2 linked regions of the Arabidopsis thaliana genome follow. The protein of the gene in region 1 interacts with the protein of each later gene in a pairwise test. Each region holds a gene or a part of one and is shown in the gene's direction. Other genes may lie near its edges. The genes, in order: PTAC14 and ZIM.

The links.
Region 2: the proteins of PTAC14 (region 1) and ZIM interact in binary tests that used the Arabidopsis thaliana proteins (3 or more experiments, as listed by UniProt).

What each region holds. Positions count from the first base shown.
Region 1 is NC_003075.7:10,874,475-10,890,438, forward strand, and holds PTAC14 (plastid transcriptionally active 14), read left to right. Parts: upstream 1-4,342; 5' UTR 4,343-4,439; coding exon 4,440-4,496; intron 4,497-4,551; exon of another isoform or gene 4,552-4,612; coding exon 4,613-4,768; intron 4,769-5,181; coding exon 5,182-5,319; intron 5,320-5,366; exon of another isoform or gene 5,367-5,401; coding exon 5,402-5,527; intron 5,528-5,611; coding exon 5,612-5,740; intron 5,741-5,840; coding exon 5,841-5,930; intron 5,931-6,018; coding exon 6,019-6,169; intron 6,170-6,275; coding exon 6,276-6,385; intron 6,386-6,460; coding exon 6,461-6,532; intron 6,533-6,625; coding exon 6,626-6,731; intron 6,732-6,815; coding exon 6,816-7,010; intron 7,011-7,101; coding exon 7,102-7,223; 3' UTR 7,224-7,578; downstream 7,579-15,964. Other genes in the region: AT4G20100 (PQ-loop repeat family protein / transmembrane family protein), read right to left, coding at 1-391; VSR7 (VACUOLAR SORTING RECEPTOR 7), read left to right, coding at 1,093-1,390, 1,623-2,297, 2,376-2,491, 2,572-2,641, 2,726-2,886, 3,044-3,125, 3,216-3,298, 3,390-3,453 and 3 more; GSO1 (Leucine-rich repeat transmembrane protein kinase), read left to right, coding at 9,746-13,142, 13,219-13,571; AT4G20150 (excitatory amino acid transporter), read right to left, coding at 14,055-14,071, 14,678-14,815, 14,936-15,026. UniProt on the Arabidopsis thaliana protein: Essential for chloroplast development, especially for thylakoid formation. Involved in plastid gene expression, probably by maintaining plastid-encoded RNA polymerase (PEP) activity.
Region 2 is NC_003075.7:12,637,489-12,652,636, forward strand, and holds ZIM (GATA-type zinc finger protein with TIFY domain-containing protein), read left to right. Parts: upstream 1-8,075; 5' UTR 8,076-8,296; coding exon 8,297-8,602; intron 8,603-8,758; coding exon 8,759-8,848; intron 8,849-8,932; coding exon 8,933-9,066; intron 9,067-9,536; coding exon 9,537-9,644; intron 9,645-9,753; coding exon 9,754-9,859; intron 9,860-9,976; coding exon 9,977-10,060; intron 10,061-10,120; coding exon 10,121-10,246; 3' UTR 10,247-10,376; downstream 10,377-15,148. Other genes in the region: PWD (phosphoglucan, water dikinase), read left to right, coding at 1-128, 223-311, 406-540, 618-780, 899-988, 1,179-1,364, 1,593-1,652, 1,765-1,809 and 15 more; CLT2 (CRT (chloroquine-resistance transporter)-like transporter 2), read left to right, coding at 5,400-5,797, 5,883-6,028, 6,106-6,143, 6,223-6,338, 6,663-6,762, 6,855-6,890, 6,978-7,028, 7,234-7,357 and 2 more; AT4G24480 (Protein kinase superfamily protein), read left to right, coding at 12,922-13,779, 13,869-14,167, 14,261-14,405, 14,509-14,624, 15,000-15,148. UniProt on the Arabidopsis thaliana protein: Transcriptional activator that specifically binds 5'-GATA-3' or 5'-GAT-3' motifs within gene promoters.

The sequences.
Region 1 (15,964 bases):
ACACCGAGACCACACATAGCAACGATTTGGTAGAAGGACGCTTAGCTTCTTCACGAAGCAAAGGCTCTTCTACATCAACCATCTGATGATTCCTTCGGTTTTTCATCAACCGCGGGTAAATATGCCCGTAGTATATAGATTGAACATAGAGAACAAGTGTAGCCAGAGTATACAACACTGCCGTGTAGAATTGAACTGGAAGACTAGCTGGTTCCATCAAGCAGCCAACAACATTAAAGATATCACCAAGCATCCATGTTGTTAAGAAGGTTATAGAGACTCCTTCAATGGACTTTTGATTGTAGTTAGTCATAATCTGCGGTATCTCGGCAACACTCCAACTGATAACACTGATGATACCAAGAGATAGTGACAAATCATCTCGAATCATCGTTCTTCACGTATGATACAGCCGAATAAACCTGTTAAAACCCTAAATACGAAATTACAAGTAGCTGAATAATATTGAGCAATGAACAACTCCTCTTATAAAGGTAAGAAGAGAGTTAGAAGATGAATAGGAAAAGGGTTTTGAAACTACAATGACCAGATTCTAAGAGGAATAGGAAAGGTTTTCAGAATTCAGATTGGAGAAAACGAATCCTATGAATGAATTAGGTTAAAATTTTTAGTTTCTTTCTCTATATAATTAAAATTTGATATTTATCAAAAACAAATTAAATAATTAAAAGGATATATCCAAATAATTAGAAAAAATAAGAATCTAAGTATATATCTTGTTTATACACGCAATGTTTATCTCTTCAAAGTCTAGGCTTTTGATCGAGTCTCCTACTATACTAATACCACCAACCAATTTAAAAAAAAAACAAGTAGAAATTTAACAAAAGTCTAACATCTTCCAAATTTTTTCCATTTTCTAAAATTATGTTTTGAGTTTGACGTTTCTTTGTTATTTATATAAACTATAGTATGCTATCATCTTCAATCAGAAACAGTTCCACAGAAGTTTTCTGTTTTAACTTTTCCTCTGTTTTTGATTTTTCTCTCTGAATCTCTCCTTCATTTCCCCGGGAAATAGTACCAGAAAGGTTATCATCGATCAAACTCTTCTTGGTGGATTCTTCAGAGATGGGTTTAGTCAACGGGAGAGCTTCGTTGACCTTTCTCCTCGCGGCGTTGACCATCATCGCTATGGTCGTCGAGGCTAGGTTTGTGGTGGAGAAAGAAAGCATAAGCGTGCTGAATCCAGAGGAGATGAGGTCGAAGCACGACGGCTCGATAGCCAATTTCGGTTTACCCGATTACGGTGGGTTTTTAATCGGGTCAGTGGTTTATCCGGATAGTAAAACCGATGGATGCTCTGCTTTTGGTAAAACCTTCAAGCCCAAGTTTCCTCGTCCCACTATTCTGCTTCTTGATCGTGGAGGTAAAAAAGTTAAAAACATCTTTAAAAGTTAAAACCTCTGTTTTGTCCATTTACTGTTGTTTTGTTTGAGTTCAAAGATTTAAACTTTAGTCTGCTATGTTATTAGCCAATAGGACTTTATGGGTTATGCTGCAAAAATACATTTTGAGCAGAAAGATATATTTTTTTTACAAAGAAAGATTAAAAGTTTAATCTCTCAAGTAATCTTTGCTCCATTATTGGATGTTTTTAGGTTGCTACTTTGCCTTAAAAGCGTGGCACGCGCAGCAAGCAGGCGCGGCTGCAGTTCTTGTGGCGGATAATGTAGACGAGCCATTGTTGACAATGGATTCACCAGAGGAGAGCAAAGATGCGGATGGTTTCATAGAGAAGCTAACAATCCCATCGGTGTTAATCGATAAATCATTTGGAGATGACTTAAGACAAGGGTTTCAGAAAGGGAAAAACATAGTTATAAAACTAGATTGGAGAGAGTCTGTGCCTCATCCTGATAAGAGAGTAGAATATGAGCTGTGGACTAATAGCAATGATGAGTGTGGTGCACGGTGTGATGAACAGATGGACTTTGTCAAGAACTTTAAAGGTCATGCTCAGATACTCGAAAAAGGCGGTTATACCGCGTTTACGCCGCATTATATTACTTGGTTTTGCCCTTTTCAGTTTATAAACAGTCCACATTGTAAGTCTCAGTGTATAAACCATGGGAGGTATTGTGCTCCTGACCCTGAGGATAATTTCAGAGAAGGGTATGAAGGGAAAGATGTTGTGCTTGAGAATCTGAGACAGCTTTGTGTGCATAGAGTTGCGAATGAGAGTAGCAGGCCTTGGGTTTGGTGGGATTATGTTACCGATTTTCATTCTCGATGTTCGATGAAGGAGAAGAAATACAGCATAGATTGTGCTGAGAGTGTCATCAAATCTCTGAGTAAGAATCTTTTTTCTTTTCCTTTTTAGATTTTAAAGAAAGAGAGTCTTCTTTGTTTAGGTTATGAATCTTTAAGACTTTTTTCAGATTTACCTATTGAGAAGATCAAGAAATGCATTGGTGATCCTGAGGCTGATACAGAGAACCAAGTTCTGAGAACTGAGCAAGTATCTCAGGTTAGTTTCTTAATCTATCTTTATTTAGAGTTTTGAAGAAACATTTCAGAGGTTTGGTTACTAACTGTAACTATTTCAAGATTGGCCGAGGAAACCGGGGAGATGTTACGATATTGCCAACATTAGTCATCAATAACGCTCAATATCGAGGTTTGGTACTTGATATTTTTTCAGTTTCACTCTCTCTTTATGAAGATGCTGAAGTTTCTGTTGTTATTGGTTGCAATTGTGAAGGGAGATTGGAGAGAACCGCGGTTTTAAAGGCGATATGCGCTGGTTTTAATGAAACATCGGAGCCTGCCATTTGCTTAAACACAGGTCTAGAGACAAATGAGTGCCTTGAAAACAATGGTGGTTGCTGGCAGGATACAAAAGCAAACATCACTGCTTGTCAAGTATGTCGTAAAACCGAGCTTACCACATCACATCTCACCACTATATTGAATATCAGTATCAATTTGTTTGGAATTGTTTTGAAAACTAGAGAAAATGTGAAAATCTAGAGAGATATTTTCTAGTCCTATAATACTTGAATCTTTTTTGTTTGATCAGGACACATTCAGAGGAAGACTCTGCGAGTGTCCGGTTGTAAAAGGTGTTCAATATAAAGGAGACGGGTACACTTCATGTACACGTAAGTTGTTCACACATTTCACACAACATAGCTCTCAAATGTTGAGACCGGTTTCTTGAATAGTCTCTGGTTTGTGATTGAGCTTTGCAGCTTATGGGCCTGCGAGGTGTACTATGAACAATGGAGGTTGCTGGTCTGACACAAGGAACGGCTTAACTTTCTCTGCTTGCTCAGTTTAGTGATTCTCTTGTCATAAGCCAAACCCTCCCTTACAAAGTTCTTGTTTTCAGTTCAATCATCTCTTTGTTATTTATGAAAAATTAGGACTCTGTATCTACTGGCTGCAAATGTCCTGAAGGTTTCCAAGGCGACGGTTTGACGTGTGAAGGTACATAACTCTTAACTTATCGATTAAAATCTCGAAAGAAACCACATAATCATATTACCAACAATGTAATTATGTTTTCTGATTTGGCTCTATTGCAGATATTAACGAATGTAAAGAGCGTTCGGTATGTCAATGTAGCGGTTGCAGATGCAAGAACTCATGGGGTGGATACAAATGCAGCTGTTCTGGTGACCGGCTTTACATAAACGATCAAGATACTTGTATAGGTAAAATTTTATCAATCAAGATTTAAGAGTACTCAAATTCCATAACAGTATCTAATTAATATACATTGATGATTGTTTGTTACAGAGAGATATGGATCCAAAACGGCATGGTGGCTCACATTCTTGATACTGGCTATCGTTGCAGTAGCCGGTTTAGCTGGTTATATATTCTACAAATACCGGTTCAGGGTACTACTACTCTTTCTGATTCCACAAAAGCATTTTTGTACTTAATAACGGTTTTAGGATTACCAAACTAACTTTTCTTTGGTGTTCCTATTAACAGTCTTACATGGACTCAGAGATTATGACGATCATGTCACAGTATATGCCACTTGAGAGCCAAAGAGCTCGTGAAGTTCCATCAGAAGCCGAGCCTTTTACACTCTAATAGTATATGACCAAAGTAACCAAAACTGTCATACACAAAGAAATGTTTGAGATCAATTAATGTACATATGAATTATACTGTAAAAATAAAAGAGTGAGATAGAGTTGTGTATATTTTCATGGCAAAAAAATAAATAATTTGGATGTAAAGAGACTTTTGAAGAAAATAAAACAAATATTGCTTTCATTGAGAGTTGAACTCAAGACCTCCCGCTTACTAAACGGGTGCTCTAACCAACTGAGCTATGAAAGCTTCTTGCAACATATTATTCCAAATAAATTATATCGTAAACTAAGAGTTAAAATCTTGAAAACAAAGGATAACGATCTTCGTCTCCCTCTGCTAAACCCATTTTCTTCTGTTGAGGAATGGCTTCTTCAGTCTCTCTTCAGTTCCTGACCAACACCTTTATCTCCAAACCTCAGGTTCTTAATCTTATCTCTCTGTATCACCTAATGTTTCTATGTCATGTGTGTGTGTGTGTGTCTGTCTTTGTCTGAATTTTCTGAGTACTCCTCATGTTTTTTCCGGTCGGACAAAGGGTTTCTGCAACGGAATTGTGTCAGCACCAAGACCCAGAAGCAATTTATTAAGAGACAGACAAAATGGTGTACGACCCATCAAAGTTGCGTCTATTGAGACACAACCTTTCCCTCTGTTTCAATCTCCTGCTTCCGAAGAATCTTCCTCGTCCGAGGTTAGGATTTTCAGTTTTGAGTGTTTTAGGGTTTATAGAGTTCTAAAAGGCAGTACCTTTGACAATTCTTTGCATTGCCCCTATCTGGGAGATTGATTTAGAGTACAAATGAGTTCTAAAGGTAGTACCTTTAGACAATTCTGTTCATTGCCCCCATATGTGATATTGATTTAGGGTACATATGAGTTCTTAAGGCAGTAACTTTAGACAATTCTGTGCATTGCCTCCATCTGTGAGATTGATATAGGGGACTTCTTAAGGCAGAAACTTTAGACAATCTTGTGCATTGCCCTCATCTGTGAGATTGATGTAGGGTACAAATGAGTTCTAACGGCAGTAACTTTAGACAATTCTGTGCATTTCCCTCATATGTGAGATTGATTTAGGGTTTTTGTCTTTTGTTTCTTCACTAGCTGGAGACAGCAGATCCGGATTTCTACAAAATTGGCTATGTTCGAAGTGTGAGAGCTTATGGAGTTGAGTTTAAAGAAGGTCCAGATGGTTTTGGTGTCTATGCTTCTAAGGATATCGAACCTCGCCGTCGAGCTAGAGTCAGTCTTCTTAGTTAAAAAGTTGACAACTTTTTGTTTTGTTCTTCTCTTTAGATTATTTTGTTTTCTTTTCTCTCTGCAGGTGATTATGGAGATTCCTCTTGAACTGATGATAACCATTAGACAGAAGCACCCTTGGATGTTTTTCCCTGATATTGTACCAATTGGTCATCCTATTTTCGATATCATTAACTCGACTGATCCTGAGGTAGTAACACATTTGTGCTATTTCGATATCATCAACTCGAAAGTTCTTATCTTTCTCAAAGTCCTTTCACATTTGTGCTTACAGATTGATTGGGATATCAGATTAGCGTGTCTTCTGTTATTCTCTTTTGATCGAGATGATCACTTCTGGCGGCTCTATGGCGATTTCCTGCCGGCTGCTGATGAGTGCAGCAGCTTGCTTTTAGCTACAGAGGTGGATTGAATTGATATGATTGCCATTTGAAACTGGTCACATTTACTTGTGTCTTTAAACTAATGCTTGATGATATCTAATTCTGTGTGTTTTTCTATAGGAAGACCTTGCGGAGCTTCAAGATCCTGATCTTGTTTCAACTATCAGACAACAACAGAAACGAATCCTAGATTTTTGGGAAAAGAATTGGGTAATGAGGCCTTATATATGTGTTTCCAGTATATCTTGACATTTGGTTATTGCTTTGTTTTTCATTGGCAAATTGTATTCCGTCTCAGCATTCAGGTGTTCCTCTCAAAATCAAAAGGCTTGCCGAGGATCCAGAAAGATTCATATGGGCGGTTAGTATGGCACAGACACGATGCATCAGTATGCAAACTAGGGTCGGTGCTTTGGTTCAGGAATTAAATATGATGATTCCTTATGCTGGTAAGGAAGAGCATGTTGTGTAGTTATTGATAAATTAAGATTTAGTATCAATGAACTTTTTGTTGAGGAACTAAATAAGAATCTCACGATTGATCATTCTCTGCAGACATGCTAAACCACTCATTTGAACCAAACTGTTTCCTACATTGGCGTCCTAAAGATCGCATGCTGGAGGTTATGTCAAATGCTGGTCAAGACATTAAGAAAGGCGAAGAGGTAAGAGACTCAAATGTTCCTAAGTGTCAGCCTCACTTCACTGCTTTATCTATCTTCTTATAATGCTTTTCACAGATGACGATTAATTACATGCCAGGCCAGAAAAACAACATGCTTATGGAAAGATACGGCTTCTCAACTCCTGTGGTAATGCTTTTTACGACAATCACATTCATCTTACACAAACTATGTTTCCTTTGCAAGTTTTCTCGTTTATTCAGTTTTTCTGGTCTGCTGCAGAATCCGTGGGATGCTATAAAGTTCTCTGGAGATTCTCGCATCCATTTAAATTCCTTTTTATCGGTCTTCAATATTTATGGTCTTCCTGAAGAATATTACCATGACAGTAAGTTCCTTTTCTTCTGTTTCCTCTCTATTCCTTGACAAAAGATGGAGAAATGAGCACCAATGTTACCTAAATCTGTGGCAGGCGAGTTATCGAGGGGCGATACTTTTGTTGATGGAGCAGTTATCGCTGCAGCAAGAACATTACCTACTTGGTCAGACATAGATCTTCCTCCAATACCGAGTGCGGAAAGAAAAGCAGTTAAAGAATTGCAAGATGAATGTCGAAAGATGCTTGCGGAATATCCCACAACAGCAGAGCAAGACCAGAAGTTGCTAGGTATTACACTAAAGATATATACACCAATGTGTTATTATCTATTATCGCTCATATACTAAAACTTAAGCTTTCCCTCTTGTTGTTGTGACAGATTCAATGTCAGAAGCAAGGACAACATTTGCAACAGCGGTTAAGTATAGAATGCACAGAAAGATGTTCATCGGAAAAATTATCAAGGCACTTGACATCTATCAAGAACGGTTACTCTATTGATTCAAGCAAAAAATAATTATGAGCTGAGTGAGATTCATACTTGGTGCTCACTCCCTTGAGCTACTTAGAAACTGCACCATGTAATTGAAAGGTTCCTGTTTTTTTTTTTGTTTAGTGTAAGGTTATGTATTTGTATGGAACAGTTAGACTAAGTGTGTTAGTTTGTTTTAATCGCAATCACAAACAAATCATAACCTCTTCTTTTCTTGGCTGCTTTAATGAGTTTGATTAGCCAACAAACGCTTTGGAATCATCTGTGTTTTTTTTTTCTCTTTTGATTAATTCATGTTCATGTTTTTAGTCCCTAAGCATGATTAGTGTCTCAAATGTTTTAGGGTAATTGTGTCTCTTACGCCGAACTATAATGTTGATTAGTCTCAATAATTGATTATTACTTATACTATTTATTAACCTTGTGGTTACACTAATCAATCAAATCATATTGCGTTTCTTCTACTCTTTGTCTAACATTACTATTTTCAAAAAAAGTTACGGTCCAAACCAAACAAACCTACTCTGAGTTATACAGAACCATAAGCAATCTATTTCTTACCTTTGGCTACTTATTTGATACTTTACATTGACTAACTTGATTCTTAATAATTATCTTCAATATGTTGAATATTTTATTTTTGAAGTAAGACCACTATGCGTTTCATAATTCTTGCCATGCATAATGAAATTATTCCTTTGAATTTAAGATTAATTAAAGTATAAATCAACCAAACAATAGACAAAAAAAAATAAAAAAAAATAAGCATCTTGATCTTTTTGGTGGATCGAAGATAATTCCTTTGTCTCATTCTTTTGGATTTAGAATCTCGTTCAGTAGAATATTAACATTTTTAATTATAGATTATCAATTATCGAACAAGTTGTTGTACGTAAACTTGATTCGATCTAGCGTTATTACAGTCAACCAAAATTTATATAATAATAACAATTTATGAAAATGACAATATTATTCGATGTATTATTCCTTTTTTCCTATAATTAGATAGGTGTGATTAAATTCAAGCTAGATTCCGAATCGACAACAACATATTATATCTATTATTAACCTCAATTTTTGAAGGCAAAAAACACACGAAATTATTCAAAACTCACGAGTTGATTCTTTACTTCGATGAACATATAAATTGGGAAAGTATCACCGAACTTATTTGGGTAATAAAGAAAAAGATGGATGAAAAAATTATGTTTGCAAATTTTAATAAGAATTATGTTTGACTTGGTAATAAAATATAGGGCATAATCATATGATGCCATGTTAATGTACGATCATACCACAACTGCTCTCCTTGTCGTGAAAAGGTTGAAGTGATGAGAAGCTAACACACTTTGTGACATAACCAAAGCCAAAAATATATACTTCAACCAAGTCATTTTCTCAACCACTCTTTTCTCCTTGTCCAAGGTCAAAGCCATGCATCACCATTTTATTTTCTATTATTCATTATTGTTACTTTTCCTTTATATAACTAATAAAAGGTCTATTACTAATAAACAACTAAACTTTTCTTTTCTTTTTGATAAAATTAAACAACTAAACTTGTCGAAAAGAAATAGGAGAACAAAGAACTCTAACTTCTCACGAAATTGATAAATCAAATGATTGCGTATCACAAAGACACTAAAAAGAAAAATTAAGGAATCGTGTAGAGTTGACACTCTATACATTCAGAGTAGTAATCATGTGTTTGATAGATAATAAATAGATAATGGAAGTATGAAATGAGAAAACTTGTTGGGATCATTTATCATTTGTGGAATCCTCTAAATCTTTTCTAACTTAACTCCAAGTCGTTAGAGTCCAAGAGATATGAATCGATCGGAACTTCAATACAGAATTTAATTAGAATATAGTGGAACAACATCCACGAATCTAAATGTCATAAGTTGTTAATTGATCAAACGAAATAGAATGTACTTATTATAAGCTTATAATTTTACAAGTTTGATGTGAATGTAAAGTGTACTACTCCACTATTTATTTATATATTCTGTGGTTTCTAAAGAAGACCAAATGTTTTTTTTTTTTTCTTTCCTAAGAAGACCAAATGTTATGTCAAAGTTTAGGCACTGTTTTAATTATATAACATGTCTCCACGGACGAATAAATGTACACACGAACATCATAGTACGACCGTTGACCTTTGCCCCTCCATTGATTGATAAAAGGCTAAAAGCCGAAACATTTTCATTCTACGAGCCTTCCCATTCCATTTCCCCACATCTCTCCTCTGACCTCTCTTTGACCCCTCTCTCCTCTCTCTCTAGATCTCTCAATAAAACAGTGAAATAGCAAAAAAGAAACACAAAAAAGAGAGAGAGAAAGAAACTTTGTTCTCTCTGCATTTACTCTTCTCCAACTCAGAGATAGAGTCCCTATGCACCGTTTCTAATGACCAATCATCTTTCTCCCTCTTCATCATTCTCTACAACAAGAATCACACAAATGCCATAAAACCTCCATTCTTCTTCCTCAGTAAACCAAACCATAAGACGACGAAGAAGAAAACATGCAACCACTAGTTCTTCTCCTCCTCTTCATCCTCTGTTTTTCCGGTTTAGGTCAACCGGGTATCATCAACAACGATCTTCAGACTCTTCTCGAGGTGAAGAAATCTTTGGTCACGAATCCACAAGAAGACGATCCTCTCCGACAATGGAACTCTGATAACATCAACTACTGTTCTTGGACCGGAGTCACATGCGACAATACCGGTTTATTTCGTGTAATTGCTCTAAACCTTACCGGTTTAGGATTAACCGGTTCAATTTCACCTTGGTTTGGCCGGTTTGACAACCTAATCCACCTTGATCTATCTTCCAACAATCTAGTTGGTCCCATCCCAACTGCTCTCTCCAACCTTACTTCCTTGGAGTCTCTGTTTCTCTTTTCTAACCAACTCACCGGCGAGATTCCGAGCCAGCTCGGCTCCCTCGTTAATATCCGGTCGCTAAGGATCGGAGACAATGAGCTTGTTGGAGATATCCCGGAGACGTTAGGGAACTTGGTGAATCTCCAGATGCTTGCTCTGGCTTCTTGTAGACTCACCGGTCCTATACCGAGTCAGCTCGGTCGTCTCGTCCGAGTTCAGTCGTTGATATTGCAAGATAACTATCTCGAAGGACCGATTCCGGCTGAGTTAGGAAACTGCTCTGATCTCACTGTGTTCACTGCGGCGGAGAACATGCTCAACGGGACGATACCGGCGGAGCTTGGACGCCTTGAAAACCTCGAAATACTCAACCTGGCGAACAACAGTCTCACCGGAGAGATACCGAGTCAATTAGGTGAAATGAGCCAACTCCAGTATCTTAGCTTGATGGCAAATCAACTTCAAGGTCTTATCCCCAAGAGTTTGGCTGATCTGGGAAATCTTCAAACTCTTGATTTATCGGCGAATAATCTTACCGGAGAGATACCTGAAGAATTCTGGAACATGAGTCAGCTTCTTGATTTGGTTCTAGCAAACAATCATCTCTCTGGTTCATTACCAAAGAGCATTTGTTCTAACAACACAAACTTGGAGCAACTGGTTTTGTCTGGAACTCAGCTTTCTGGTGAAATCCCTGTGGAATTAAGCAAATGTCAATCGCTTAAGCAGCTTGATTTGTCGAACAATTCTCTCGCTGGCTCGATCCCTGAAGCATTGTTTGAGCTAGTCGAACTCACAGATCTTTATCTCCACAATAATACCTTGGAGGGTACGTTATCTCCTTCGATATCAAACCTCACTAATCTACAGTGGCTTGTGTTGTATCACAATAACTTGGAAGGCAAGTTACCGAAGGAGATCAGCGCACTCAGAAAATTAGAGGTTCTGTTTCTGTATGAGAATCGTTTCTCAGGGGAAATCCCACAGGAGATTGGAAACTGCACAAGCTTGAAGATGATTGATATGTTCGGGAATCATTTCGAAGGAGAGATACCTCCTTCAATAGGAAGATTAAAAGAGCTTAACTTGCTTCACTTGAGACAGAACGAGCTTGTGGGTGGACTTCCCGCCAGTTTAGGTAACTGTCATCAACTGAACATCTTGGATTTGGCGGATAATCAGCTCTCGGGATCAATTCCTTCATCCTTCGGGTTCTTAAAGGGCTTGGAACAGTTGATGCTTTACAACAATTCTCTTCAAGGAAATCTTCCTGATTCACTTATCAGTCTGAGGAACCTCACCAGAATCAATCTCTCTCACAACAGGCTCAATGGTACGATTCATCCATTATGTGGTTCGAGCTCATATCTCTCATTCGATGTCACCAACAACGGGTTTGAAGATGAAATCCCCCTGGAGCTAGGAAACTCTCAAAATCTTGATCGTCTCAGGTTAGGCAAGAATCAATTGACAGGAAAAATCCCTTGGACGTTGGGGAAAATCCGCGAGCTGTCCTTGTTAGATATGTCAAGCAACGCTCTCACAGGAACCATTCCGCTACAGCTCGTCTTGTGCAAGAAACTGACACACATCGATCTCAATAACAATTTTCTATCAGGTCCTATACCTCCATGGCTTGGAAAACTTTCACAGTTAGGAGAGCTCAAGCTTTCTTCGAATCAGTTTGTTGAGTCTTTACCTACTGAACTGTTCAACTGTACAAAGCTGCTTGTGTTGTCTCTTGATGGAAATTCGCTTAATGGGTCGATTCCACAAGAGATTGGTAACTTGGGAGCTCTCAATGTCCTTAACCTTGATAAGAACCAGTTTTCAGGTTCACTTCCTCAAGCTATGGGAAAGCTCAGCAAGCTGTATGAGCTTCGGTTATCAAGAAACAGCTTAACAGGAGAAATCCCAGTTGAGATTGGACAGCTTCAGGATCTTCAAAGTGCTTTAGACCTCAGCTACAATAACTTCACTGGAGATATACCTTCGACAATTGGGACATTATCAAAGCTGGAAACACTTGATCTTTCTCACAATCAGCTTACAGGGGAAGTTCCTGGCTCGGTTGGGGATATGAAGAGTTTGGGATATCTCAATGTTTCTTTCAATAACCTCGGAGGGAAGCTCAAGAAACAGTTCTCAAGATGGCCAGCTGATTCCTTTTTAGGCAACACAGGTCTTTGTGGAAGCCCACTAAGTCGCTGCAACAGAGTTAGAAGTAATAACAAGCAACAAGGTCTTAGTGCCAGATCAGTTGTGATAATATCAGCAATCTCAGCATTGACGGCGATTGGCTTGATGATACTTGTAATCGCTCTCTTCTTCAAACAAAGGCATGATTTCTTCAAGAAAGTGGGTCATGGAAGCACTGCGTACACATCGTCAAGCTCTTCTTCACAAGCTACACACAAGCCTCTCTTTCGAAACGGAGCTTCAAAGTCCGATATCAGGTGGGAGGACATCATGGAAGCTACACATAATCTAAGCGAGGAGTTCATGATTGGATCAGGAGGCTCTGGGAAGGTTTACAAGGCGGAGCTTGAAAATGGTGAGACTGTTGCAGTGAAAAAGATTCTCTGGAAGGATGATCTCATGTCAAACAAGAGCTTCAGCAGAGAAGTTAAGACGCTTGGAAGAATCAGGCATAGGCATCTGGTTAAGCTAATGGGTTACTGCAGCAGCAAGTCAGAAGGATTGAATCTGTTGATATATGAGTACATGAAGAACGGAAGCATCTGGGATTGGCTTCATGAGGACAAACCCGTGCTCGAAAAAAAGAAGAAGCTTTTAGACTGGGAAGCAAGATTGAGAATAGCAGTAGGATTGGCTCAAGGAGTAGAGTACCTTCATCATGACTGTGTTCCTCCTATCGTTCACCGTGATATCAAATCCAGTAATGTGCTCCTCGATTCAAACATGGAAGCGCATTTAGGAGATTTCGGTCTTGCCAAGGTCTTAACTGAGAACTGTGATACCAACACAGATTCAAATACCTGGTTTGCATGCTCTTATGGCTACATTGCTCCAGGTACTCATCTTCTCTTTCTTAGCTTTCTTGCATATTCACTGTTTTAATATCTAAAGATTTGAAATTGTGTGTCTAGAGTATGCTTACTCGTTGAAGGCGACTGAGAAGAGCGACGTTTACAGTATGGGGATCGTGTTGATGGAGATTGTGACTGGGAAAATGCCAACCGACTCAGTGTTTGGTGCAGAGATGGACATGGTGAGATGGGTTGAAACACATCTTGAAGTAGCGGGTTCTGCGAGAGATAAACTCATAGATCCAAAGCTTAAGCCACTTCTGCCATTTGAGGAAGACGCAGCTTGTCAGGTGCTTGAGATTGCACTTCAGTGCACAAAAACTTCTCCCCAAGAGAGACCATCTTCTAGGCAAGCTTGTGATAGTCTTCTCCATGTCTACAACAACAGAACGGCCGGTTATAAGAAGCTGTAAAAAAACTGACACCTGCAAATGTCTTTGGAGACATGAAAACTGCCAACTTTAAATTTTTTCTTCTGAAATTCTGTTTCTGCTTTGTATAGATGACATGGTTTCTTTCAGTACAAAGATTGTTTCGAACTTGATCCATCTGCTACAAAAACACTTATTGTCTTTTGCATGTACTTGTAATACAACTTAAACCAAATTTTAAACAGAATGATTCTGATTCTGATTCTGAAACTCTATTCTCATAACAGAAGGTAGATTGCAAGGTTTATCATTTCGCCATTATTAACCAGATACAAACAGATTCAGATTGTGAAAACACAAATCTTTAGGTTCATATTCGAAAACAGTGAATGAAAAGAACTCCAGAGCTGAAGTCAAAGAGAAGGAGAAGAAACGCTTATACAGGAAAGATCAGACAAAACAAGCACTTGAGATGAGTTCAGGGGAAGATATTTCTTTTCTGAAGACTTCAAAGATCACGCAAAATTAATCCCGATCTTCATCTGCATTACAAAAACAGAAGGAAAAGTTTGAATATTCCAAGTTATTCAATCCAACAAAACAAGAAATGTAATACACCAAATTCTGCCAGTCCCTCGCAAATATGCAATAGCCAATGGTGATAAACAAACAGAGATTCTTGAACTTATCATAAGTCACAAGATTTATCAAAGAAGAGTTTGCGAAAGCTTAGCAACTTACTACCTAAAACGAGACACGTTTACATATGTGGTTCCCTTCAAATTCGCATCTAGTTTATATGTACTGGCACCTTGCAACCTATCTAACTCTAGAACCAAAGAACTAGTCGAAAGTATCTATCTTTCCAGACTCATTGAGATCATGTTCAAAGGAATAATTGTATTGCTCAAACTGTCTTAACTTTTATAAGAGTGCCTGACTAAACAGATTTGCAACAAGCTAAGCCTGCATAGAGATTCGCTCAATTGAAAAACTTCCAAATGATTAAACCTTGAGCGAAGTTTCATTGCGGAGAATTCAATTACCATTGCAACCATTTCATACACCAAAAACGTCACCAATTTTTCTAAAAAAAAGCAAAATTTGAGAAGCTGATAAACCAAAAACAAGAAGAGGATAATATATACCAAAGTAACGGCGCTCATTAGCAGCTCTAGCCTTAGCGAGCATCACATCAAGATCTTCCTTAAGCTTCACATCCCATTTCACGAGCTGGTTCGCAAACACAGCACCAAGTCCCATACCCACCACATGCTCCCACGGATCTAACATATATTAATATCCAATCAGAACACAATGAATCGGAATCGCATTTTCTCAACAATCGAAATCAGAAAACAAAAATTAGGGTTGTTGTAGCATTTTTCGATTGGTGGACGACTTACGACGCATATAAGGGAGCTTGCGGAGGGCGTTGGAGTACATCTGGGTACCGAGACCCAGCAAAGCTCCGACCATTGTCGCACTTATAGGCATCGTTTCGTCTTCGGATCTTCTGAAATTTGTTGTTGTTGCAACGATGAGTCTCCGATCTCCGGTTAAGTGACTACTCGGACTTAGCTTCACAATGTTTTCCCCACATACATTGCCATTTCAGTGTATCGCCCTCATATGGGCTTGGGCTTGGGCCTAGACCTTGGGTTACATAAATGATATGGAACGCTATCTGCTATGTTTAGTTGTTTTGGAAAATGTTAGTAAGTTTAGACAGTAAAAAAAGAAGCACTACTTTTTTTTTTTTTTTTTTAACATTAACAGAAAGTTAAAAACTACCAAATGCTAAAATTTAGGTGAATTATCTTCTATACTTAAGCAAGATACACATATCTTTTGGATAGAATTAAATTAGTTAAGTTCGTTTTAAATTGGAACAAAGTTTGACTCCGGTGTAATTTACGCCAAAACTCTCTATCTGTTTTTTTTTAACCTTTCCCGTCAGATTAGTCAAAGAATCTAAATTTATTTTGATTCTGATAGGCTATAAAAATAGCTACCATATTATATTTTAACTAATTACATGAGTCAAAGACTGTAAATTTATTACTTTAAGTTACCATATATAGTACAATGAATCAATGGAACTTCATTTGGTATTTTTATAGTAATTTTTCTAGAAATAGCATTATATGCATGGTTAATCTTATGTAGATTTCATTTCATAATCATGGGATATGCACAGATTCTGTTACATATAATTAATGAATTTGTTGTAAAAAGTTAGATAACTCAAAATCTTTGACATAACACTAAAATCCCAAAGGATTGAATACAAACCAATGAAGCATATCCAATGGTTTTAATTAATTTTAAAAAAATCCATTCGAGTCAAAGAAAAGAACAATGTAAAAGTGCTTCTAATGTTATCACTTATCAGTAAATGTGAAAAAAAAATAGAGAGTGTATTCATGTATCAA
Region 2 (15,148 bases), 1.8 Mb from region 1:
ATATAAATTTAAAACGAGGTGGTTTTGTTGGTATCCAATTTGTAATATGGTCGGGAGGCTACTGGGTGAACAATAACGGAGCCAACTTCGTTGTAAACCTGAAGTCAGCAGACAGTACCAGTGGTAAGGTGAGTAAAGTCATCACACCATCAGTGGAATGGTAATGTTGGAATGCTCTAATCACTAGGGGAGTTCGCTTCTAAACATGCTTATTCTCCTCAGCTTGACGTGGATGAAAAGTATGTTCTCAAATGGTTACTTGATGAAATATCTGAGCGAGAGAAAGAGGCTGAGAGATCATTGATGCACAGGTAAGTCAAAGTATCTAGATCGTTATGAATCTGTATAAACTAGTTTTCCTTTTTAATAATGTCAGTGAAGTTTCTTATAAGCATAGCTTGGCAGGTTCAACATTGCAACAGAGTTGACCGAGCGTTGTAAGGATGAAGGAGAAGGTGGATGTATTGGTATAATGGTGTGGATGAGATTCATGGCCACCAGACATCTCACCTGGAATAAGAACTATAACGTGAAACCTCGGTAGAGCTATTGTTCCATTGGCTACTTTTGATAGTTGATCCTTTTTGTTCTTTCTTTTAATCAGACCTTTTCTGCAGGGAAATTAGTGAAGCACTAGAAAGATTCACCAATTTGATGGAGAAAATATATTTGCAGCAACCAAATAAGAGAGAAATTGTGAGACTAACTATGGCACTTGTGGGTCGTGGAGGTCAAGGTGATGTTGGGCAGAGAATCCGTGACGAAATCCTTGTTATTCAGGTATATAGTTCAAAATCTCTGCAACTAAAACTTTTCCTTGTCTTGTTAGAGTAGTTTGTCTTTGTACTTTCTTTCTTTTTTGTTTTAACATTTTCTTGTCTTTATTATCTTTTGTTAGAGAAATAACCACTGCAAATCCGGCATGATGGAAGAGTGGCACCAAAAGTTGCACAACAACAGTAGCGCAGATGATGTGATAATTTGTGAGGTAAAGATGCTTCCATTTGAAGTAAGATACTCACATTTAGTGATTGGTAAATAAGAGGAAGAATAACATCTCAGATAAAGTTGAAACTCCATTCTAAAACTCGCTACTTCTTAAAAAGCAGCTAACTAGCTAGTTCAGAAGTTTAGTTTCCTGTTGTAAATATCTGATGAGTTTATTTCTTCTGCCATAGGCTCTCTTGAACTATGTGAGATCTGACTTCAGGATCGATGCATACTGGCAAACACTACAGACCAATGGTCTCACAAAAGAAAGGCTTGCAAGTTATGACCGCCCCATAGTATCAGAGCCTCGTTTCAGAAGTGATTCTAAAGAAGGACTCATCCGTGACCTTACAATGTACTTGAAAACATTAAAGGTATACCACTTGCAGCCTAGTTTCGTTTCCTGATCCATTGAAGAATTCTTAGGAGCAAACTGTAATGGTTAGTTAGCTTAGTAATGATGAGAATATTTATACCTCTGGCCTCTATTAGATAATAATTGCTTTGCAATTTCGACCTACATTACAGAACAATATTTTGCTCCATTTTCTACTTTCAGTATCTTGAATTTCTAAACAAACTGTTTGTACCTGCCTCTGTAGGCAGTTCATTCAGGTGCAGACCTTGAGTCTGCTATTGATACGTTCCTTTCTCCATCTAAGGTAATTAGTTCATGATTCAAACCGTCACTTTGATTTTCTTGGGACACATATCATCATCAAGAACGGTATTTATGTTAAGAGTAATACCTCATCCTTTCATTTTCTTTTCCAGGGTCATCATGTCTTTGCTGTCAATGGTTTATCACCAAAATTGCAGGTTCGATTTTCTCATACCATCTTCCTAATAACATATTTTCATACTATTATACATTATATATAAAGACATCAAAATGTCTAACAGAGTGGCAAATTCCATTGTATGGTAGGATCTACTGAATTTAGTTAAGAGGCTTGTTCGCGAAGAGAACACTGAGCCCCTAATAGAGGTTTTAATAGCACATCTTCTTCATATTGCCAGTCTTCTTCCTCTTATTGTTGATTTATTTTATCCTTATGCTTGCTTTGTTTTTATGTACTTCTGCAGAAGTTAGTTGATGCTCGCATTCAGTTACACCCTGCACTACGAGCACCTCGCACGAGGGCAAAAGATTTACTATTTTTGGACATTGCGTTGGAGTCATGTTTTAAAACAACAATAGAGAAGAGACTCATCTCTTTAAACTTCAATAACCCACCGGTAACTGTTATCTCTGTAGTTTTTAACTATTTACTTTCCTTTGTAGCCAAATATTAGTCTTTACACCAAAGAGTAAGGTATGGATTGATCTGCTTTCCGTGAACAGGAAATTATATATGTCATCTGCGTGGTGCTTGAGAATCTGTGCTTATCTATAGTTAACAATGAAGAAATCATATTCTGTACAAAGGCATGTTATTTCTTCTCCCTTCGTTTCTCTTTCAAAGTTTGACTCTCAATGTTCTTGTATGAATATTAATTGTTATTCTCTTTTGCGCCCAGGATTGGTACCGTGTCAGCGAGGCTTACAGACCTCATGATGTTCAGTGGGCATTGCAAACAAAAGCGGTCCTTGACCGTTTACAACTAGTACTTGCTGATAGATGTCAGCATTATTTTACAATAATACAGCCTACTGCAAAATATCTTGGTCAACTGTTACGTGTTGACAAGCATGGGGTACATTGCAGTTAAACTCCAACTTCTTCTTTATGTAAGAAAGTCTAAAAGATATATTTATTCATTTGGGTTTCTTATTTTTTACAGATTGATGTTTTCACTGAAGAGGTTATAAGAGCAGGGCCAGGAGCCGTTTTATCAACTCTTGTAAACAGATTTGATCCTTCTCTAAGGAAAATCGCGAATTTAGGCTGGTAAGATATGTTTTACCATGAATTTGAACTAAAGAACTATATTTAGATTTGTTCCTTGTAGAAGGTGATTACTGAACCCTTTATCGTATTTTTGCTCTAAACCAAAATGGTTCTGGTTGAGAAGTTGGCAGGTTATCAGCTCGGCTGATGCATATGGGTTTGTGGTTTGTGTGAATGAGTTAATTGTTGTTCAGAACAAATTCTACTCGAAGCCAACTGTAATTATTGCAAGTAAAGTCACAGGAGAAGAGGAGATCCCTGCTGGTGTTGTAGCCGTGCTGACTCCTAGTATGATTGATGTCTTGTCTCATGTATCTATTAGAGCAAGAAACAGCAAGGCATGTTATCATCAGACAATGCTGCAAAAAGAAGAACTAGGATCTTCACAATTTTTTCAGGGAACTCATCTTAAGTTCGTCTGATGCAGATATGCTTTGCTACATGCTTCGATCAGAATGTTCTCAGCAATCTGAAGTCGAAGGAAGGGAGAGCAATATCTATTCATACAAAGTCTACTGGTTTAGTTATCAGGTAATCGAACTCTTATTATGTCACTGTTCTTTACGCTTAGAGAAGGAGTTTCTAATAACTCTGAAATTATATCACTTGCAGTGATGGCAACAACTCTGATGTCTCTGTTCGTCATATTTTTATTTCCTCTGTTCCACGGGGAGTGATCTCTAAGGGGAAGAAGTTTTGTGGCCACTATGTGATTTCATCTAAGGAATTCACTGATGAAAGGGTAAATAAGAATCAAATACATGAAGATAAAAGTTTTCATTTTGAGAATACCATTTGGATTTTCATTTCTATGAGATATTTTAGGTTGGCTCAAAATCATACAATATAAAATTTCTACGTGAAAGAGTTCCATCATGGATCAAGATACCTACCTCAGCTGCTCTTCCATTCGGAACATTTGAGAATATACTCTCAGATGATTCCAATAAGGTATAACCTTTAATCATTTGCTTCTTTCTGGAACTCTCTAAAAGTAATCCAAGGGACGGCTCCTCACTGAGCTTGCGATCCAGAAGTCTCTTAAATAGATTTGGTGATCCATCGCTTTTCAGGATGTAGCACGCAGGATTTCTGTCCTTAAAGATTCTCTTAACAGAGGAGACCTGACAAAACTTAAGTCCATTCAAGAAGCTATCTTACAAATGAGTGCTCCAATGGCTCTGGTAATAACTGGGCATATAATTGTCTTTCTTTCTCTCTGTTCATGTTCCATGTGAATCTCATGTTGGGTTTTGAACTCTTTGGTAGAGAAATGAACTGATCACAAAATTGAGAAGTGAAAGAATGCCTTATCTTGGTGATGAATCAGGCTGGAACCGCTCCTGGGTGGCAATTAAGAAGGTAAGAATCTCTTTGAACGTTTGTGTACTTATAGTTAAAGGAACCAAGTGTTTCCCTGATCTCCACATCTGCATAGGTCTGGGCTTCAAAGTGGAACGAGAGAGCTTATGTCAGTTGCAAAAAAAATAAGCTTGATCATGATGCGGTCTGCATGGCTGTGCTGATTCAAGAAGTCATTTGTGGCGATTATGCTTTCGTCATTCACACAAACAATCCGGTCTCTGGTGACTCTTCAGAAATATACACAGAGGTTAAAGAACTATCTCCAGTTTCCACACTTTTGAGTAAATAATATCAATAACTCAGTTATCAAGAAACTGGCGTTCTCAGATTGTGAAGGGTTTGGGAGAGACCTTGGTTGGAGCATATCCAGGACGAGCAATGAGCTTCATCACCAAGAAAACAAACCTCAAGTCTCCAACCGTAAGAAACAAACAGATCCTAGTTGGCTCTTAAGTTGAGTTATATATTAACCGAGTGAGTGGGGAATTTGGGTTGTACAGGTGATCAGTTACCCAAGTAAGAGGATAGGTCTGTATTCTAAACCCTCAATCATATTCAGATCAGATTCAAACAACGAGGATCTCGAAGGCAACGCAGGCGCTGGACTTTACGACAGGTTTGTTTTGTGTGTTTCTCTCTGTTTCCGTCTTTTATTTCGGAACTCAGAAGCTGAAAGGGTTAAGTGCTGCAGTGTGATAATGGATGAAGCAGAGGAAGTAGTGGTGGATTACTCAAGGGAGCCACTAATAATGGACAAATCCTTTCGAGTGCGTCTATTCTCAGCGATTGCAGAAGCTGGAAATGTGATAGAGTCAATCTATGGTTGTCCTCAAGACATTGAAGGTGTTGTCAAAGGTGGACATATCTACATCGTCCAAGCTAGACCCCAAGTTTAAGCTCTCTTTTTCTACTTGTACCATTCCCTAAGTTTTCAATCAAATCTTATAATTACAAGCTAATCTTTTATATGTTTGCTATTACACATGTAATATTTCTACATCATGGCACACTCCTGATACAAACAAACATGATTCAAAGTTTCATAATAAATGATTGTGTGATAAAAATCCAAAACTCGTTTAAACGACATCGTATGAAGGGTCGCATAAGCGAAGAAGGATATAAAAACAGTCGCCGAGAAAGTCTCCCGCTATGGATACCGTTCTCATGGCTACAACACCACCAATCAGATGTCTTCATGCTTCAATTCCTACGGTGTTCCGTTCGCCGGCGATTTATCAGGTCAGCTGCCGGAGCTCCCAACTGTTTTCCTACCGTTCGACGACTATGATGAGCATGTGTTTTCTCAGACGGTCCGATTTGAGATCTCGCTTTCTTAGTACTCCGAAAACCACTTCTCCGATGAGACGACCTCGCTTTTCCGTCGGTGCTTCTACGGAGGAGTCTTCAATTCCTTCTAATCGGAACCTTATCGTGGCTAACTCCGTCGTAATCGTAGCTTTAGCTGTAGCTAATCGCGTGCTCTACAAACTCGCTTTGGTTCCCATGAAACAGTACCCTTTTTTCATGGCTCAGCTCACCACTTTCGGGTAACTTAAACAAGAGTGGCTATGAAAGAAATTGGGCAGTGAAGGAGCCTAGCTTAGATTATGATAAATGAATGGTTTTTGGCAGCTACGTCTTGATTTATTTCACCATTCTGTATACGAGGCGCCGTCTAGGCATTGTGACGAATGAAATGATGGATGTACCCAAATGGAGATTCGCAATCATTGGTTTTCTCGAAGCTCTTGGTGTTGCCACTGGCATGGCTGCAGCAGGTATCCCATTTATAGCATGATTGAAACTTTACATATTTATAAGGTTACATATGGAGTGATTCCACTCTCTGTTGCAGCAATGCTTCCTGGACCAGTTATACCCATTTTGAATCAGGTCTTTTGGTTTTATGATTATCTTCTTGCTCATTTGTTCTCATGGGGGTGTTGAACTCATGCCTCCCAATGTTTGGCAGACATATTTGGTGTGGCAGCTGCTTTTTGCTCTTCTTATTTTAGGCAGGAGGTTTTTGCTTAACCAAATTGCTGGTTGTCTCCTTGTGGCTGTGGGGGTTGTGGTGGCTGTTTCAAGGTATTCCTTCCTCCCTCTTCTCTTCTTCTAAAGTTACTTTTATCTTCTTGGATCTGGATGCTTGATCTTGGGGTAGAGAAATGTTTGTGTATCCGTGGTCATTTACAGATTATATCAAGAGAGTGCTTTCAGCTCTTACAATCTAGAAAACTAGTTTTCATGGACCAGAGTCACACCTATCAAATTCACCATGCTAAATGAATGGAGACGGCTCTACTTTAGTATTTATCATCCACATAGCAAATAGAAGGCCCTGATTCTAGAGAAGCTTGTGTGATAGTGATACTTTCATTTTTGTGAATGCTGACTGTAACTCATCTGCAGTGGATCTGGTGCAGATACTACGCTATCTGGAATCGGTTTCTTATGGCCTGCTGTATTGGTAGCATCCGCTGCTTTTCAAGCTGGTGCATCTATCATAAAGGTGAAGGTCGCTCTCTCTTATGAGTTGTGAACATTTCTATTTTATTTTCTTTTGCCAAGACCCAAGTTGTTAAGTGTTTTGTCTGTTAACAGGAATTTGTTTTCAATGATGCTGCAAAGCGTCTTGAGGTATCTCCCTTATCCCCTGCATCAAACAGGAATGCTTTTCTTTCGAAACTTTGCTGAATTAACTCTAAGATTAACTGGTGGATGCAGGGAAAGTCACTGGATATATTTGTGGTAAATTCATTTGGATCTGGATTTCAGGTATCTACTACTACAATATCATGTTGTAAATGTATTTGTTACAGCCAAAACAATTAGACATGCTTCTCCATTACATCAAGAGTACGTGAAGAAAACATTTGAAAGCTGCTTTCCTCTGTTATTCACTTATTATCTCTCTCCTACTTGAGAAGAGTTTTTGTTTTTTGGTTTAGTGTTACGGATCACTGAAGCTGTGCTTGTGCAGGCTCTTTTTGTGTTCCTGTTGTTGCCTTTTCTCTCAAACTTGAAAGGCATTCCATTCGCCAGCCTTCCTTCATATCTAAAAGATGGTGCCGGATGCTTCTTCAACACTGGAGCTAAGATTTCTGGTTAGAGACCATTCGACACTTGTTTTTTTTTCCTTCATTGAATTTTATTCACTGCTAAAACTTTGTGATTATCCATTTGAGAATTTCAGGCTGTGATGGTGCCCCTATACTCCCACTGCTCTATATATCCACCAATCTCGCTTTCAACATCTCATTGCTCCATCTGGTGAAAATATCTTCAGCAATCGTTTCCTCTCTTACCATGATGCTCTCAGGTCCATATTTCTATCCTTCCATGCAACGCCTCTTAAGTGTCACCAAATACTCAAACCCATATGAGATAATACTTTTGGTGTTGTTGTAGTGCCATTAGCGGTGTACATAATGTCAAAACCATTGCCGTATCTACCGGGAGGATCAAGCTTGAGCTCAAATTTTACGATGGGGTGTATAGTTCTTGTCCTAGGTCTTCTTCTCTACAACATTCCCACTACTCCAACTAAACAACACACCAAGACCTCCTAACACACTCACTCACCATTCATCCTTTTTGTGCATTACTTTTTTTTTTGTTGATAAACCAAATTCGTGTAATTTCCCAATTTTTTTTCCTTTGACCATCAAAGATACATAGAATATTCTCAGATATTTTTTTTACGTGAAAAACTAGCTTAAAGAAAAAAAAAAAAAAAAAAGAATAACAAGAAGAGAAATTTGTGATTGGTTAAAAATCCAGTAAAGTAGAGTCGTCGGGTCGTCTCGGAAGCAGTGCTGCGATTTTACCTAAAGTCACCTTTTTTTTTTACCGTCGGGTGAATTCGACGACGGTCCTAATCTCGCCTCCTCCACACGCGCCGATCACCATCTCTCTCTGTAATCGCTCTTCTCGATGTCAACTATTTCCTTCTTCCTTTGCTCTTAGGGTTAGGGTTTATTTTGTTCTTTCTCTATATCCTTCAATCAATGTGAAAAAAAAGCTCTCCCTTTTGGCAGTTTCCGATGTTTGGTCGCCATTCGATTATCCCAAATAACCAGATTGGTACCGCCTCTGCTTCCGCTGGTGAAGACCATGTCTCTGCCTCCGCTACGTCTGGTCACATTCCTTACGACGATATGGAAGAAATCCCTCATCCTGACTCTATCTATGGTGCTGCCTCCGATTTGATTCCCGATGGCTCTCAATTGGTTGCTCACCGATCCGATGGCTCTGAATTACTTGTTTCTCGGCCACCGGAAGGGGCGAATCAGCTTACGATCTCGTTCCGTGGACAAGTTTACGTTTTTGATGCCGTTGGTGCTGACAAGGTAATTCTACTCTGTCCCTCTTTTGTTATTTGTGTGAAGTCTCGATGGATGCATCTGAAACATAACATCTGATGGCTTAGGGCACGTAACGATTGCCTCTTTTGCACCTTTGTGCTTTTGCTAGTCTTAACCAAACTTTGGAAATTGATTTCGTAGGTGGATGCTGTGTTGTCGCTGTTGGGTGGTTCTACTGAGCTTGCTCCTGGTCCGCAGGTGATGGAACTAGCTCAACAGCAGAATCATATGGTAACTTTGTTATTTGTGTTCAAATTCTGCTTAAATTGTCACTTCATCTCGATTCCACCTTTTTCAGTTTGGTGTTATTTTTAGCCTGTTGTAGAATATCAGAGCCGCTGTAGCCTTCCGCAACGGGCACAATCCTTGGATAGGTTTCGGAAGAAGAGGAATGCTAGATGTTTCGAGAAGAAAGTAAGATACGGTGTTCGCCAAGAAGTTGCCTTAAGGTCAGTGTGTCAGTCTTGAGTTTTACCAATTTATGCCAAAAGCTGTTACTCTGAACAAAATTCTTTCACCTTTTCTGGGATAAAAATTTAGTATTCTTGTATAGCTAAACTAAAAATTTTCTACTCTTCTGGCTATGCTCTGGTTGCTTAACTACTTCCTCACTTTCGTGTGCTATGGATTGAAAGGAAATCTGTTCATATTCAACTAGTTTACTATCTAGCTAGTTTTCTTTTATTTGTTTCAAGAAGTTTGGTGACCATGTAGGTGTTTATGTAGAGTAGTAGGCTTCATTGTCCATGGCTTGCTGTAGTATTTGACAATATGGTTGTAGTTGAGCAGGATAGACATCTGAGTCTTTGTTAGTGTGATAAGTAGCTTTTACTGGAAATAATCGACATGTCTATTTCAATAATAAGGGATAGGATTTGTCACCTTCTCTGCCTCTCTGACCTTTGTTAGTGTTTATCAGAATGGCACGTAATAAAGGTCAATTCACCTCTTCAAAGATGACAGATGGGGCTTATAACTCTGGCACAGATCAAGATTCTGCCCAAGATGATGCCCATCCAGAAATATCGTGAGTTCTTTCTCTTCTCTGCCAATTAACTGTTCCTGCAATTTTTGTTTTCCACTAATGTGGGACATTTTGTTTGCACTTATTTTAAACGTGAGTGTGTCTTATGTAGGTGTACTCATTGCGGCATTAGTTCCAAATGTACACCAATGATGCGACGTGGCCCTTCCGGCCCCAGGACTCTCTGCAATGCCTGTGGACTTTTTTGGGCTAACAGGGTACGTATGAAAGACAAAGTGATGATAAAGACATATATAATATGTTCACTATGTTCAGTTCATAAGATACTGATATAGCCAAGAAGTTTGACATTTAGAATTGTTCAATTCTTGTAGGGTACATTGAGGGATCTCTCAAAGAAAACAGAAGAGAATCAGTTGGCTTTAATGAAACCGGTAAGCTCTTATAAATATCACCCTGTGTTTCTGGTTGGTTTATCCACATAAGGCGGAGCTTGAATCATCATCGCTTATTTGTAGGATGATGGTGGGAGTGTTGCTGATGCTGCTAACAACTTAAACACTGAAGCTGCAAGTGTTGAAGAACACACTTCCATGGTTTCTCTTGCCAATGGGGATAATTCTAATCTGTTAGGTGATCACTAAATACTGTGATAAGAATCAGAAGATAGAAATCTTTGTAGAATCAGATGGTCTTCTCTATGAATTTATCTTTTCACCATCACATGTATTATAGAAACCGTAACCGAACCTCAAATCAAATACCATATCAGATGTCTTTGGTTTCAGAGTTTGTTACTATGCTTGCAACCATACCCATTGACATGGTGTGGTTAAAAACGTTAAAGTCGATTCTGAGGGGAAAAAAGTTTACTTATTACGTTACATCCTCAAAAGATATGATCAGATTAAAAAGACTTATCAATGTCTCATACATAAATCAAATACTAATCTACTCAAAACTTGAAAGGTGATTTCTTCTTCTTTTTGGTTGTATTGACCAACTAACAACACTACGTATCAAAATATCCGAAAAGATTTTAAAAGTTTCATTGGAATGGGACAATGCATCTTAGATCTCAATCCTAGTTTACAAGATTAGTTTATTAGAGGATGTATGCATACGCATCATATACCAAAACCATGTGGATTACTAAATCGGGCTCAGGACCACTAAATAGATTAGATTATCTACAAATCACATTATTGTGTACATAACAAATAGAATACATTATATAAATCACACAAAAATGTATCGAAGAAAAGAGAACCGTCGAACCAGTTTGATGGTAATCAACTAAGATAATGTTTTTTTTTCTGATGTCAATAGTGTTTGTTTATGAAGGAATTTATGATGAGATTATTCGAGAAGGAGTCGCTTTAAGTGACCCGATCCTCGTGACGACTCGTTGCTCTTTCTTTCTTTATTATAGATTATAGTTGTTCAAACAAATGAAAAGTATCTGAGACGAATAAATTAATGGGTGGTCTGTTTCTGTACTATAAAGAGGTCCATGCATGTACCATATCATCTTATTATGTACTATTAAACAAATAGATTAATGATTATATAATGTTTTCCGATATATTGAAATTAGTTTATGAGTCACGAGTTAAATCTGAAGGCTTCACCAAACCTAAAGTTAAAAGTCTCAAAACAGTTAAACACTCTTGTGATATCATCCCTGTATATAATCTTTAATGAAAACGTAGAAAAAAAGATTATTTGCAACCAGAAAACATCTGAACAAATATCCATTTCTCGTGGTTTTATGTTAAAACATTTGTCGTGTTGGGAAATAATTGAAACTTTTATTTTCCAACATTGAATTTTTCTTTATGTTAAAAGTGATGTGAACTTTGTATAAAATGAAGGAAAATTTAAAAGCACTCCCCTATATGCGATGCGAGAAAAGGGAGAGAAGATATGTATGCACTTGTTTCTTGTCACGTTCCGTTTCCACAAAATCAGTAGATATGCCAGTAACTGTGTTATCTTCTTCTTTTCGTGCGTCTGTATCCAGGAGACATATAAATGATGCTGAATTTCCTAACTATTTTTAATTTATAAACATGAGAAGCGTTAAATGGGTAGCAGCAATCAAACGTTTGGTGCTTAAAAGCGCTTATTTGAAGTATAAACAATTTGATATTTATAAGATAAAACAGCATTACATATGAAATATCATGATTCATAACTATATATGCAAAATTTGAAAACTTCTAAATCCCAAAATTACACAAAGATTAACTAAACTACATTATAATTTATAAATAAATAAAAAGATTAGTATCAAAACTAAAACGTTAAGAAATATCATAAGTGATGATTAGACGACAGTCAAAATGTTAAATTTCATGATGAAAAAACAAAAAAAAAAGAGTAATTTGTCCAAATACAATCAGCTGACTATATATTTTGTCAAATCATATATCATATATACTAAAACTAAGAAAAAGATAACCATCAAACCAATTCAATTTATATCCACCTACATATGACTTTGATACATTTTTTGTGTAGTTTGATCAGTGATAAGATTTTCAATCCTCTATAGTAATAAAAATTGCTAATTTCGATAATTTAAGAGATAATTACAAAACCAACAAGCACCTAGACACCCCTAAGATCTAGGAGAATGCATCCTCCTTAGTCATCACTTCCTTATAAAGTAAAACTATAAAAACTGAGATCACGAGAGAAACCGAGAAAGAGAGCCAAGAAATGCATGAGTTAGGATGATAATCCACGTGTCACTATCCTATTGCATGAAGAGTATACGTGTAAGCTCGTCACATAAAGTTTCCCTCTTCTTCTTCCTCAGAGTTTTTAATTGGCCATTTTATTACTTTTCCATAAATAATAATATAAAAATTCAAAATATTTAATTCCCCATTTGCTGTTGTCTTTCCTTTTCTTCTTCTTCTTCTTCCTTCCTTTTCTCGTGCAATCTCCAACACCTTGACTACGCTTCTTCATCCCACCAACAAAAACCCTTTCTCTATCAAAACCAAACCACCGTTAGTTTTTCTTTCCCGGTGATACGTTTAGATAGCTTCTTTTTTTTTCCGGTGGTTAACGTTGACGATTGACTACTTCAATTCTAAACGGATAAGTATTAGATAGCTTCCTCTTCTTCTTCTCCAGTATCTGGCGACGAATTCAACTAGAGATTATTTTCTCTTTTTCTTGTCTCCTCTTGATCGTTTGTTTTTGTTTGTATCTGGATTCAATGACGGGATTTGGTTAAACGAAGAAGATTCATTTCTCTGTTCGTTCGATCTGTAAATTTTTGCTTTCAGAGTGAGATTTTAACGAAATGCCTCACCGGACTACTTACTTCTTTCCGCGGCAGTTTCCCGATCGTGGATTCGATTCGTTTTCGCTTAAGAATGATCACGACAAGAAGAAATCGTCGTCTAACGTTGGAGAGAGTTTTGGATTTCAAAGAGATAATAAATCTAATGGAGTCGGAGAAGATTCTAACAAGGAGAAGGAGAGTACTGTGTTCTCCTCTAATCCTCTGCTTTCTAAAAGCTCAGCCGTTTCAGATCTCTTTAGCGATGATCGCAAGTCGGAGAAGAAGCATCAGCAGCAACTAGCCGCTTTCTATGAGTGGTTGGCGGAGAAGAAGGCTAATCTCTCTAGGTCATCATCTACTACTACTACTCATGGACGCGGGGTGAAGCCCACGCGCTTCTCTATGTCTAGCGACGCCGATGAGGAGAGAGAGCTTCTGTTGTCTTCTCCGGCTGATCCCGCTCCGCTTCCTGCTACTTCTTCGCCGGATTCTATCATTGATTCGGCTAGGACGGTTAACATACATGAACGAAACATTGATCGGAGCTTTGACAGAGAGGTTTCGCTTCCCCGAATGTCGAGTGAGAGCAGCTTCGCTGGAAGCTTCTTCTCCGGGACGACGGTGGACGGGAATTTCTCCAATTTCTCAAGTCATACAGACGCAAGGGAAACTTCGACCACCACGCTTGTCTCAGTGAACAAAGAGGAAGAAGAAGTTGAGGTTAGGGAACAGGGCAAAGAGCAAAGCTTAGCGCAGAAGTCAAGAGAAGGCTATTACTTGCAGGTCACGCTTGCTAAGTGGCTAAGTTCTCAAGCAAACCTAGCATGTGAGTCTGTTCATATACAGAGCACAGAATCTATCTCCTACCGTTTTTGGGTATGTAGTCGTACGTATGTCTCTTTTAACTTTTGTCTCAAATCTAGGTCGGAATTGTGATTTTTATTCTGTTTTTTTTTTTCTTTCAGGTAAGTGGTTGTTTATCATACAGTGACAAGATATCAGATGGATTTTACAGTATATTAGGAATGGATCCGTATCTTTGGTTGATGTGTAACAATTCTGAGGATGGCAAACGAATTCCATCTCTTTTGTTACTCAAGGAGACTGAGCCGAATGATACATCAATGGAAGTGGTTTTGATAGATAGACGTGAGGACTCACGTCTTAAAGAACTGGAGGATAAGGCACATGAGCTGTATTGTTCTTCAGACAACATGTTAGTGCTCGTCGAGAAACTTGGCAGACTTGTTGCGGTCTATATGGGGTACGTACACTTCTTGTTCTTGTTTCCACAAGTATTCTTCATAGTTGTGCATATATATATAAGATGTGTATGCTGAGGTTATGGAGCTTTTAGGGGGAATTTCCAGGTGGAGCAAGGTGATCTCCAGAAACGATGGAAACTGGTCAGCAATAGACTCAAGGAATTTCGGAAATGTATCATTCTTCCTATAGGTAGTCTAACAATGGGCCTTTGCCGGCATCGTGCCATCCTATTTAAGGTGAGCCATGAACTTACATAGTAAAAGAGAAAGCTAGACTGTTTTAAACAAGAAACATTTGTCCAAAATATTGGATATTGACTTGCTTACCATGACTATGCAGAAATTGGCTGATTACATAGGTTTACCATGTCGGATAGCTCGAGGTTGCAGATACTGTAAAGAGAGCCACCAATCTTCTTGCCTTGTCAAGATTGACGATGACAGGAAGCTTTCAAGGTTTGATAGTGTTAAACCTTTAAAGCCTTCCCATTGGCCGTTTTTTTGTCTCCCTCTCTATGTACTTAACTACAGCCAGATTCCTCAGTGGGTTTACATAAGTAGACTCTCAGGTTGTTAGCAAATCACTATTTGATGCCTCCACTTGTGGACTTTCAGGGCATGGTATTTAGGAAGTCTATACCTGCTTCTATTTAAAACACCTATTGATTCTTTATGTTTTACTAACAGATGGGTATCTACTCTCCAGGGGGTCTACTTGTGTATGTCCTTGATTCTGTGCTTTACAAATAGTTGCTAGCTCTGGAGTACCATTGAGTTGTTTTGAGCTTATGTTCCACATTTTGAGTAATACTTGATATCATTTCTCAACAGGGAATATGTAGTTGACCTCATCGGGGAACCAGGAAATGTCCATGATCCGGATTCCTCTATCAACGGTGAAACACAGTGTCAGATTCCTTCACCTCTTCAAATGAGTCATCTTACAGATTTTTCCAGGCCTTGCGTGCATAGTACATCTC